Linked DNA regions of Caenorhabditis elegans. The protein of the gene in region 1 purifies or fractionates together with the protein of each later gene. This does not show direct contact. Each region holds a gene or a part of one and is shown in the gene's direction. Other genes may lie near its edges.

Evidence for each region.
Region 2: the proteins of fem-3 (region 1) and tra-1 purify together in Caenorhabditis elegans (affinity purification with western blotting, with the first as the bait; one study listed by BioGRID). This does not show direct contact.

The regions. Positions count from the first base shown.
Region 1 is NC_003282.8:9,103,092-9,108,244, forward strand, and holds fem-3 (Sex-determination protein fem-3), read left to right. Parts: upstream 1-1,874; 5' UTR 1,875-2,110; coding exon 2,111-2,181; intron 2,182-2,271; exon of another isoform or gene 2,272-2,279; coding exon 2,280-2,624; intron 2,625-2,669; coding exon 2,670-2,748; intron 2,749-3,119; coding exon 3,120-3,467; intron 3,468-3,549; coding exon 3,550-3,640; intron 3,641-4,020; coding exon 4,021-4,253; 3' UTR 4,254-4,516; downstream 4,517-5,153. Other genes in the region: C01F6.14 (Ovule protein), read right to left, coding at 806-1,030. UniProt on the Caenorhabditis elegans protein: Required for male development. In XO (male) animals, fem-3 directs male differentiation in all tissues. In XX (hermaphrodite) animals, it specifies the first 80 or so germ cells to be sperm. Negatively regulates male development when bound to tra-2.
Region 2 is NC_003281.10:11,192,187-11,197,026, reverse strand, and holds the start of tra-1 (Sex-determining transformer protein 1), read left to right. Parts: upstream 1-1,825; 5' UTR 1,826-1,963; coding exon 1,964-1,984; intron 1,985-2,066; coding exon 2,067-2,162; intron 2,163-3,924; coding exon 3,925-3,985; intron 3,986-4,840. UniProt on the Caenorhabditis elegans protein: Plays a major role in controlling sexual phenotype. Terminal global regulator in a well-characterized cascade of sex-determining genes. Promotes female development. Interacts with tra-2 to promote spermatogenesis.

The DNA.
Region 1 (5,153 bases):
ATAAATGAATTCCACATCAAAGGATTATTTGTTCGCTTTGAAATCAGTTTATTGATTGTGTGCACTGCCCATACATACTCGTTATTCTGAAAAAGTATTTAGAAATGTTGAGATTAGAGTTGTTTTCCCAAACCTCAGCGAGTTGAGCGCCGATAGCTATTCCCATGGAAGTTTCGCAGATGATATCAAGAGTACAAAGGGCGATAACGGAGAGAACATCAACTCTTTCACTGAAAATAAACATTTGAAATAAGTAATTATAAATTGAAATTCTCACTCTGCACCAAGGCAACACAATTTCTGAACCAAAATCTTCAATAAAAGAAAATCAAAAAAAGACGCCATTGTTCTTTCTGGCTCGTCAAAATACTGATTCCAAGCCATGGTTCAAGCAAAACGTATGCGAACCCTGTTCAGATGTTTCGTCGACGAGAAAATTGCTTCAACAAGGTCGCCAGAGTAGAGCATCAGGCATGGGAATGGACCAATCCACAGAAGACACATTCGTGGATCTGGATATAAATATCCCATTCCAATCACTTGGTTCATGAATCCCTCTGGATCTGGCTTGGTGATGAGTCCGTGACCGATGATTGGGTATGATCGTGGCTGATTGAGATGCTGAAAATTTATTGAAGTTATTCATAAATTTATTTTGAAATCAAACCTTCAAAGCTTGACGCATTCTCAAGTGTTTGTAGAGCAGCCAAGCGATCACCGTCGCCGAAGCCAGAAGTACAGCGAGGATGATAACCCCCATGCATATGATGAATAAAAAAATATTAAATAAAATAAATGTTTATTTTCATAAAAACTGGACAAATTTCATATATGGACTTATCGGAACAAAAAGAAAGAAATAATAATAAACCAAAAAATTTGAAAATCTATGATAAAACCTTTCAGATAACTTCTCCACAGTCGGTGATGACGCAAGCCTTGGAACCCTTCGTGTTTGATTTATTGAAGGCGATGCGGGAGACAACTTCGGTTCCAGCCAAAACTTTACCAAATGCCACGGTTTTTCCATTCATCGATTCATATGGAAGAATCGAGATGTTGAACAACGAGCTGTTATTGTCTTCTTTCAATCAATTTTCCTGAAAAAAAAAGCTGATTTCAGATGCGGATATTCATGAAATAAAAAAGCAGATGAATAAAAATAAATAAATTCCCATTTCAGTCTCTCAATTTAGAAATGCTGAAAAACTGACCATCGGCAATATTCCCGGATTTTGATGCATTTCAAGATACTTTTCATTTTTGAAATTCTTTTCGGCAAAAAACGTATGGGTCAAACATTAGCCAAATAAATATTCTGAAAAGTTAGTTTTTGATAGCATCTTTTAAGCTGGATTTTGTCAATTTATAAAACTTTTAGATGCCTAAACATCACTTACAAGATTGAAAGCCCAATGAAAAAAACTAATGTTCAAATGAGTTAGCAATGGAGCGCGTTTACGTTCTTTGCGCGAGCTTCGAATTTTTCTGCTTTTATTTTCAGAAAAAAACACTTTCTGAAGTTTTTCAGTTTTCCTTCAATTTGTTATATCTGGTTTCATGCATTTTTTAATCGTAAGAAAATTTCATATTCATTTTAGTTTATCGAAATAAGAATTACTGTTTTAAAAATTAAACAGAATTGAGAAAACCACAAACTAAGCGCCCTGTGTTATTTTTTAACCAAAATTTCTCAGATTTTAAAAGATATTCTGAATTGATGCGAAGTAATCGTGTTTCTCTAAATTATATTCTCAGTTATTCTAAAAATTCCCCTCCTCTTCTCACATGCTCTTTTCCTAATTCTCAATGCAATTTTTCACAATTTATATTATATTCACAACCAAAACTATATTACTAATCGAAAATTGCAGACGCTGTCCGAACAGTTGTAGGAGTGGTGTCGGGCGACGTCAACGTCTCGAAACAGAACCAGGACTGCGAACGCGGAGAATTTTGTCTGCACTCTCTCCGAAGAGAGTGCAGAGAAAACCAGAAACGGGTAGTAGACCACCCAGTCGGTTAACTACGGTGGATTGGAAGAAGTGACCAGCAAGAAATTTCAATGTAAAAATAAGAGAGATTTCCATTTATTTCAATTGTAACTGTAATGGAGGTGGATCCGGGTTCAGATGATGTAGAAGCTGACAGAGAAACGAGAGCTCAGAAACTAAAATTAAAGTAAGTTAAATTTTTTAATGTTTTTTTTTGTTGAAATTGTTTTAAATTCTTTAATTCACATCCAGTCAAACTAAAATGATCAAAAACTAGGTTTTCAGAAGAAATGTCAAATTCCGTGCACAAATGAGAAGATTCGACGAGTACTGTGGAGTGACTAATTTAACAGTAGATGATCTCAATTGGCCTTTAATATCTGGAATTCCTTTACAAAGACAACGATTGACAGGAGCTACGTATTATGATGATAGTCTTCTCGATCAAAATCCTTGGGATGAATTTTCAATTGATCGATTTCTTGAAATTACTTCAATTCAATTAATAACAGCCGGTGCTGGATATGAAAGGAATGATGAAATTACTCGATTCGTTTTTCAAAGAACAATGAAGACAATTGTAACTTATTGCAATTTTATGTATGATTTGGCAAGGCGGAACGGGAAAGTGTGAGGCGAATCTGAAATTTTATAAAATAAAATTTTAATTTTCAGTCAAATAACTCGATTCGAGTTGCAAGATTTGATTCATCGCGATGAATTTCGGTTTTACATGTATTTTCGACAATTTTTAGTGAGTTTCCTTGTTTTATCATAAATTAAAACAAGCTCTACTTACCCGATTTTTTTTTCGATTTTTGAACCAAAAAAGGGATATCCGACTCGACACGACAATTTTTAGTTAAATAAAAACGGGTGTGTGCCTTTAATAAGTACTGTAATTTTAAACTTTCGTCGCTGCGGAATTTTCTTAGTTTTTCGGAAAATTGTTTTAATTAAAAAACTAAAATTACGCAATTACCAAAAAAAAACAGGGATTTTAAGAAATCAGGAAAACATGTAAAAACCGGTGAAAATTTAACAAAAACAAAATCTTGAAATTCCAGTACTCTTCAACGGCGCATTTCCGTTTGTATTTTACTTTTTTTAAAATCCTAATTCCAGCCCAATCCGGATCCGAATTGTACGGCCTTTTCCAATCACTACACGTCTCTTCTTCATACACTCTATTTCAATATTCCGGGAATGCCACAGTTTTGGAACAATTCCCAAATGTATAATTACGCTGCTACCCGTGGTCAACGCCTTGTTCAAAATATCGCCGCTTTTTATCCACCCGAATATTTTTGGAACGAAGATGAATCCAAGTATCATACTACGTTTGTGGTTCCACGTGGCACAGAGTTCTCAAAGTTTTATGCTCGAAGATTTCATGAAGCACTTGGAATGCCACCACTGGAAAATGAGATTATTACGGTTTTGGATTGGCTTGCGAAGCTCTGCATTTTGGAAGTAAGCATTTTAAAAATGTTATTTATGTACTCATATATTAATTTAAAGCTTTTAAGCGTTAAAAACTATTTTACATTTGTAGATTGTATATCACACAACGATTTGGTGCGACATAACTGGATTTGGAGGGCTTCCACGTATTGAGCACTATCGTTTAGCCATGGAGAATGTTGGTAGGAATTTATTGTTAAAATAATTTAAAAGTATATACATGACATGTTTTTCAAAATATAAAACACAATTTTTTTAAAGCGAAACTTTAAAAAATCATCAAAAGTCGAATAGCGTAAAGGGAATTTTTGTTTTCATAGTCGCAAATTTCTAAATTCTACAACAGAAAGACAAAAAATCGACATAAAAAATCCATCGTTTGAAAACATGCTTTTTCGATTTTGGCATTTTTTTGTATTGAATTCAAACCCGGATGTTAGCAAAAATTTTTAAAAAATCACGTTTTCGGTATTACTAAATTCTCCACATTTAAAAAGAGTCCATTCTGAAACTTTTTCGATTAAAAAATTTCTTTCACAACTATGTTTTGTTCTAATTTCAGAAGACATCATATTCGACTTGGCAATTGATGATTTCTCAATTTCCCGTCTACAGTTACAAATTTCGCCGTTTGAAATCTCTCGCTACTCACCTCTAGATGTATCTGGTTATTATGAAACAATTAAAAGAAAAAAAGATATTGAAGAATATCAAAATCGTTTCTATGAAGTTCATTATTCTGATGATGTTCGGATTATGAATGTTTATGCTACTGATTGCTCCAGGAAACGATGATATCAATTGTTATAATGATTTGCTTTTAATTTTAATATTATTTCATTTGAAAGTCTAACTCTCTATATTTTACCCAGATTTCCTATTTAATATCACCGATTTGCCTTCTATCTCACTAACGCTTCTTGTGTCATTCACTTTCGAATCCTCTGGTTTACATTTTGAAAAATGTCATAATGGTACACTGCTAAAAAAAGCTGGTTCCATATCACTTTAATTTGTTTTAAGATTTGTTTAATTTAAAATAAAGGTATAGATAATATCGATTAAGCTGCTTACAATTGGTTAGACGCTACGCAAGTGCGCTCTGGTAGACAAACAATAGCATCTGTTGAGTGCGCAGTTGGTTTACACTCATTCAAATGTGTACGGGTGTGGCATTCGAAACATTTCGAATGAAACACTAAGAGTTCCAGTTGCTTTTACGAGTTTTTGTGTAATTTTCAGTTGATTTAACGTTTATTGCTCATTGCTAGAAGCCGAACTACAAAAAACCCACTATTTGGCAATTAGTCTACTACGACTCAATTGGTAAAATATTTCGAAAGTTATATTTTTCCAATATAACCATCAATTTCATAATGTAGCATCTTTCCTTCAATTTTTAATATTTTTTTGTCATTCTGAATAAAAAAGTACAAAAGTCATGCTGAAAAGGATACATATCGATACAATTCCACATGAATATAATTTGAATTTCTATTCAACTGATATACATTACACATATTCGCGTGTGCTAGAAAACTCGTATTTTCCCATTCGATACATCATCTGCCAACTTTCTTAACAATCCCAAGATCGTCACCCTTTCCTCCACAGCACCAGTCCCGCCTTTTTAACAACGATCTGTTTTTAATGGATGCTCGATCTATATGCATTAATTCATTCTATCATTCATTT
Region 2 (4,840 bases), on another chromosome or scaffold:
TCTAAGATTTTTTAGTCGAATTTAACCTAAAAACTAAATACTCAAAAATTAAAAAAAAAAACTAATTGCCGTTCGGAAACGGCAAATCGGCAAACCTTGCCGATTTGCCGGAAATTTTCAATTTCTCCAAATTGCCGATTTGCCGTTTGCCGGATATCAATTTGCCGAAAATTTTTAGACAGATTTTTTATAAGACGGAAACTCGTAAGACTGTGCCTTTTTGAATTTTTTTCCCGTTTTCTTTAGATATTTTCATAGAGTTTGCTTACAATTTTCAAAAAATTTCCGGCAAATCGAAAAAATTGCCGATTTGCAGGAATTTCTCATATCCGGCAATTGCCGATTTGCCGGATATCAATTTGCCGGAAACTCTTAAAACTGTGCCTTTTTGAAGTTTTTCCCCGTTTTCTTTAGATATTTTCATAGAATTTGCTCAAAAAATTTCCGGCAAATCGAAAAAATTGCCGGTTTGCCGATTTGCCGGAATTTTCATTTTGCAAAATGCCAATTGGCCGTTTGCCGATAAAAAATTGTTTTCCGCCCACACCTGATTTGAATGTTAAAAGCGGAAAAATATCACACAAACGCGATTATTAGCGATTTTTTTCCGCGAGAAATACGGTACTCGGTCTTGGCACGAAAATTTTTTTCTTGAATGCCAAAAGGTTTTGCGCCTTTAAGAATTACTGTACTTTGAAACTTTCGTTGTTCCGGTATTTATTATCAATTTTTGAAAATGTATTATTTATTTATTTAAAAACTAACAATAAACACTGGGCAAAAAAAAAACTCCAAAAAAAAATGAAACTACCGTATTCTTTAAAGGCGCACACCTTTTTGCATTAAATTTCAAAATTTGGCGAATAATAAAAAAAACTACAGTCGCCTCAAAGAAAATTTAGAATATTTTCGCAACATTTTTTTCCATTTTTAGACGAAATTTACTCGAAAATTCCAGAGTTTTTCAAAAAATCCCAATTTCGCCTTCCTACCGTAGTCCAGCGCGGGAATTCAAAATTCTCACGTTCCACCGGTCTCCCTTATCAATATATATCATCCTCCCAATCACTTTCACTGGTTACTTTTTCAATTTCCCTTTTTTTGCGAATTTCCGTTCGCGAAAACGAAAAAATTCCAAAAAAAAAGACCGGTGGCTATAGATACAGTACTATTCCCCCTCTTCTCAACATTTTTATTTTTTTCTTACTTTTTCTCGGCGCTGGCGCCTAGTGCCCGCGGTGGTTTTGAGACTTATTATCAGTTTTTTATCAGTTACGCCACCAATGTACGGCGTCTCTCTGTCTCGTATGCTATTTTCGCATCGCCAAGGGGGTTAGATGTTCTTCTCTCCTATGTATATGTGCTATCAGTCGAGTACTGAAAATTGTGCACGGTTTTTCAAAAAAAAAAACCACCCAAGCCTTGACTCCTTTTTTGTCGTTGTTTTTTCTGGAAAACTCAAAATATTTGTTCTCCATGTTTTTAGCGGGTCTCACCACGATCGTGCCGAGACCCACCCGACAATTAATTTCTCTGCGCCGTTATTTGAAAATTTTTGGCTCCAAACTTTCAAATTGAAAAAGTCATGTATTTTTATATTTAACAGTTCCCAATTTTTTACTGATTTTCACTGAAAAATTGGCGAATTCTCATTCAAAAAGTTTTTAAAATTAATCGAGCCTTACTGTAGTTTTAAAGGAACATGCAGTAATTCTTGCGATGGGTCTCACCACGAACTCTATTCTTTGAATTTTAAATTTAAATTTAAAGATTTTCTTCTCATTTTTCTGCCTAATATCCTTCAAATCTATTGATTTTTTTTGCAGAGAATGTGCCAGGAGGCTCGCCACGTCATCTTCTAAATAATCAACACTATTTGGAGCATCAAGAGCCCCCGCGTCAAGCAATTTTCAACGCAACTCTCCAAATTCAACAGGAAATCAAAAACAACGAAAACGGCGGCATGATGGCCCCCAGTACTGAGGTTAATTCGAGGAATTTTGAATTAAAAAACTAATTTTTACAATTTTCACATTAAAAATTCGTTAAAAATCAATTCTCTCCAGGATCCCGATACGGTTGTCGAGGCTCAACGTCGTGGAAGCTTCTCGAAGAAAAAGAATGCAAATGGGTGGAATAAGGTGGAGCTTGTCGATCAGTGTGTAAGTTTGTGAAGCTGAAAAAAAAATCCATAAAAATCGAACATTTCTAGCGAAATCCCGGTATCTCTACCGCAAAATTCGTAGATTTTTGGAAAAATGCACATTTTTCAGACAAAAACTTTTCGAAAAAGCAGATTTATCACAAAAATTTGAGAAAAATCGAATTTTCACGTACCAGGAGTGGTTTTCCGGAAAAATTCACCGAAATTCGCTTAAAATTGAACTGAAAACGTCCGAAATTTCAATTTTTTGTTGATTTTCCCACTTTTTAAGCTTTTTTTTCAAACCTAACTGTATTTTAAAAATTTAGCCTTATTCAGAATTAAATCAGAATTAAAGAATTAAATTCAAACTTAAAAATTTTAAAAATTCGAGTTTGACAACATGTTGAGCTTGAAAATCGCAGTTTTAGGCTTAGGCTTTTAGGCTTATAATTAGGCTTAGGCTTATGCTTAAGCTCAGGCTTAGGCTTAGGCTTAGGCTTGGGCTTTTAGGCTTAAACTTAGATTCAGGATTAGGCTTTTAGGCATAGGTTTAAGCTTAACCTTAAGCTTAGGCTCAGGCTTAAACATAGGCTTAAGCTGAGGCTTAGTCTCAGCCTAAGGCTTAGGCTTAGGCGACGGATTAGGCTTAGGCTTAGGCTTTAGCATAGGCTTAGGCCTAGGCTCAGGCTCCGGGGAAGAGAAATTCCTAGAAATTCCTTTAAAAAACCCAGGAAAAACGACAAAAATCTGAAAAAAATGGGGCTTTCTGTAGTCGGGTCAAAAAAATGCATGTCTAGGCGTCTAATTTCAAAAACACTTCCAAAATATTATTTCCGGCAATTCCGGCAAGTACCCCGCACCCCTGAATCAGGCCTGCCGGTTTTTTTTTTCAAATTTTGCTCATTTTGCTCAAAAAAAAAACAGACCGAAAATTGAACATTTTTTCGGCGGCACCCCGGACCTTTTTTCTGCGGTCCTATAAAAACACGTGGTGCCAGACTGTCCCATCACGTTTTGTTGATCTACGAAATTGCGGGAATTTTTTGCCCAAAAAAATAACACGTTCTTAACCATGCAAAATCAGTTTAAAAGTGTGCGTCTCTTTTCCCGCATTTTTTGTAGATCAACGTAGATCAAGCCGAAATGAGACACTCTTACAGCACTTGTAAAAATATAAAAATCGATTTTCCCTCGAAAATCGCCAAATTTTCCCGCCAAAAACTTGTCGATTTTCTCGTCTCTGGGTTGTCCAACCGTGAGAATTTATATTTTTCTTCTTCTTCTTCTCAATTTTCTCAGCTCTACATGTTTCTCATTTCCTTTTTCGGGTTCATATCACCACCGTTACCTCGTCTAGACCGCCCGAATATTTCTGCTCCTCTGATCATCGAACACTGCTCCGCCACTACTTTTTTTTCGCTGGGCGCTGTTGCTGCTCCTGCCACGTCGTTTTTTTTTTCCGCTCGACTGATAAGGAGTTGTTCTATCCAAAATTCGAGAGACAGAGAATTCCGATAAAAATACATACATATTATTTTGAAGTTCTCGTGCACTTTTGCTCTTACACTGGCACCGCCGAGCACACCCCCGCCGCGGTTGATGAGGAGGTCAGAAAAGTATAATTTGGGTCTTAGCACGCCCTGAAAATGCAAAAAAATATGGATTTTTTCAGTCAGAAGCTCATTTTTTAGGGGATTTTATCTAGAAATTCCCTAAAATTTTGGGCCCTTTCTGGATTTTCTCATGAATTTTTTAAATCAATTTTTACAATTTTCCAGGCCAAGCAAATGGGTTCGGAGGACAAACAACCTGGTGGTGGCGACGTGAAAACCGAAAATGGTACGGGAAATCGCGCTCCGTTGAGAATGACCGCGCGATTCGGCGGCAATTTGAATAGTTTTAACGAAAAAAAATGCGGAAGAAATTCGCATTAGAGCGCATTTGCACCCACATTTTTTCTTTGAAAATCGCCCGATGGAGTCGGATGGACCACCCGTTTTCAGCTTTTCTAGAGAAATTATTCAGTTTTAGACCAAAAAATTCCACAGAAAATAGAAAATTCCACAATTTATAAATATACATTTATTAGAAAAAATTTTTGAATTTAAAAAAACGGGCGATTTTCGACTCTAGACACCGCCTTTTTTCAAAAATTTTTGTAATTTTTGGGCAAAAATGGCTCGGCAAACCGAATTAAAAAATTTCCGGCAAATTGGAAAATTGCCGGAATTTAAAATTTCCGGCAAATCAGCGAGTTGCTGAAATTTGAAATTTCCGGAAAATCGGAAATTGAAATTTCCTGCAAATTGGAAAGTTGCCGGAATTTAAAATTTCCGGCAGATCGACAAATTGGCAGAATTTGGAATTTCCGGCAATTCGGCAAATCGCCAGAATTTGGAATTTCCGGCAATTCGGCAAATCGCCAGAATTTGGAGTTTCCGGCAAATCGGAAAATTGCCGAAAGTTGAAATTTCCGGCAAATTTGCGGAATTGAGGATTTCAGGCAAATCGGGTGAAATTGGCAGAGTTGAACATTTCCGGCAAATCGGCAGAATTTGGAATTTCCGGCAATTCGGCAAATCGCCAGAATTTGGAATTTCCGGCAATTCGGCAAATCGCCAGAATTTGGAATTTCCGGCAAATCGGAAAATTGCCGAAAGTTGAAATTTCCGGCAAATTGGCGGAATTGAGGAT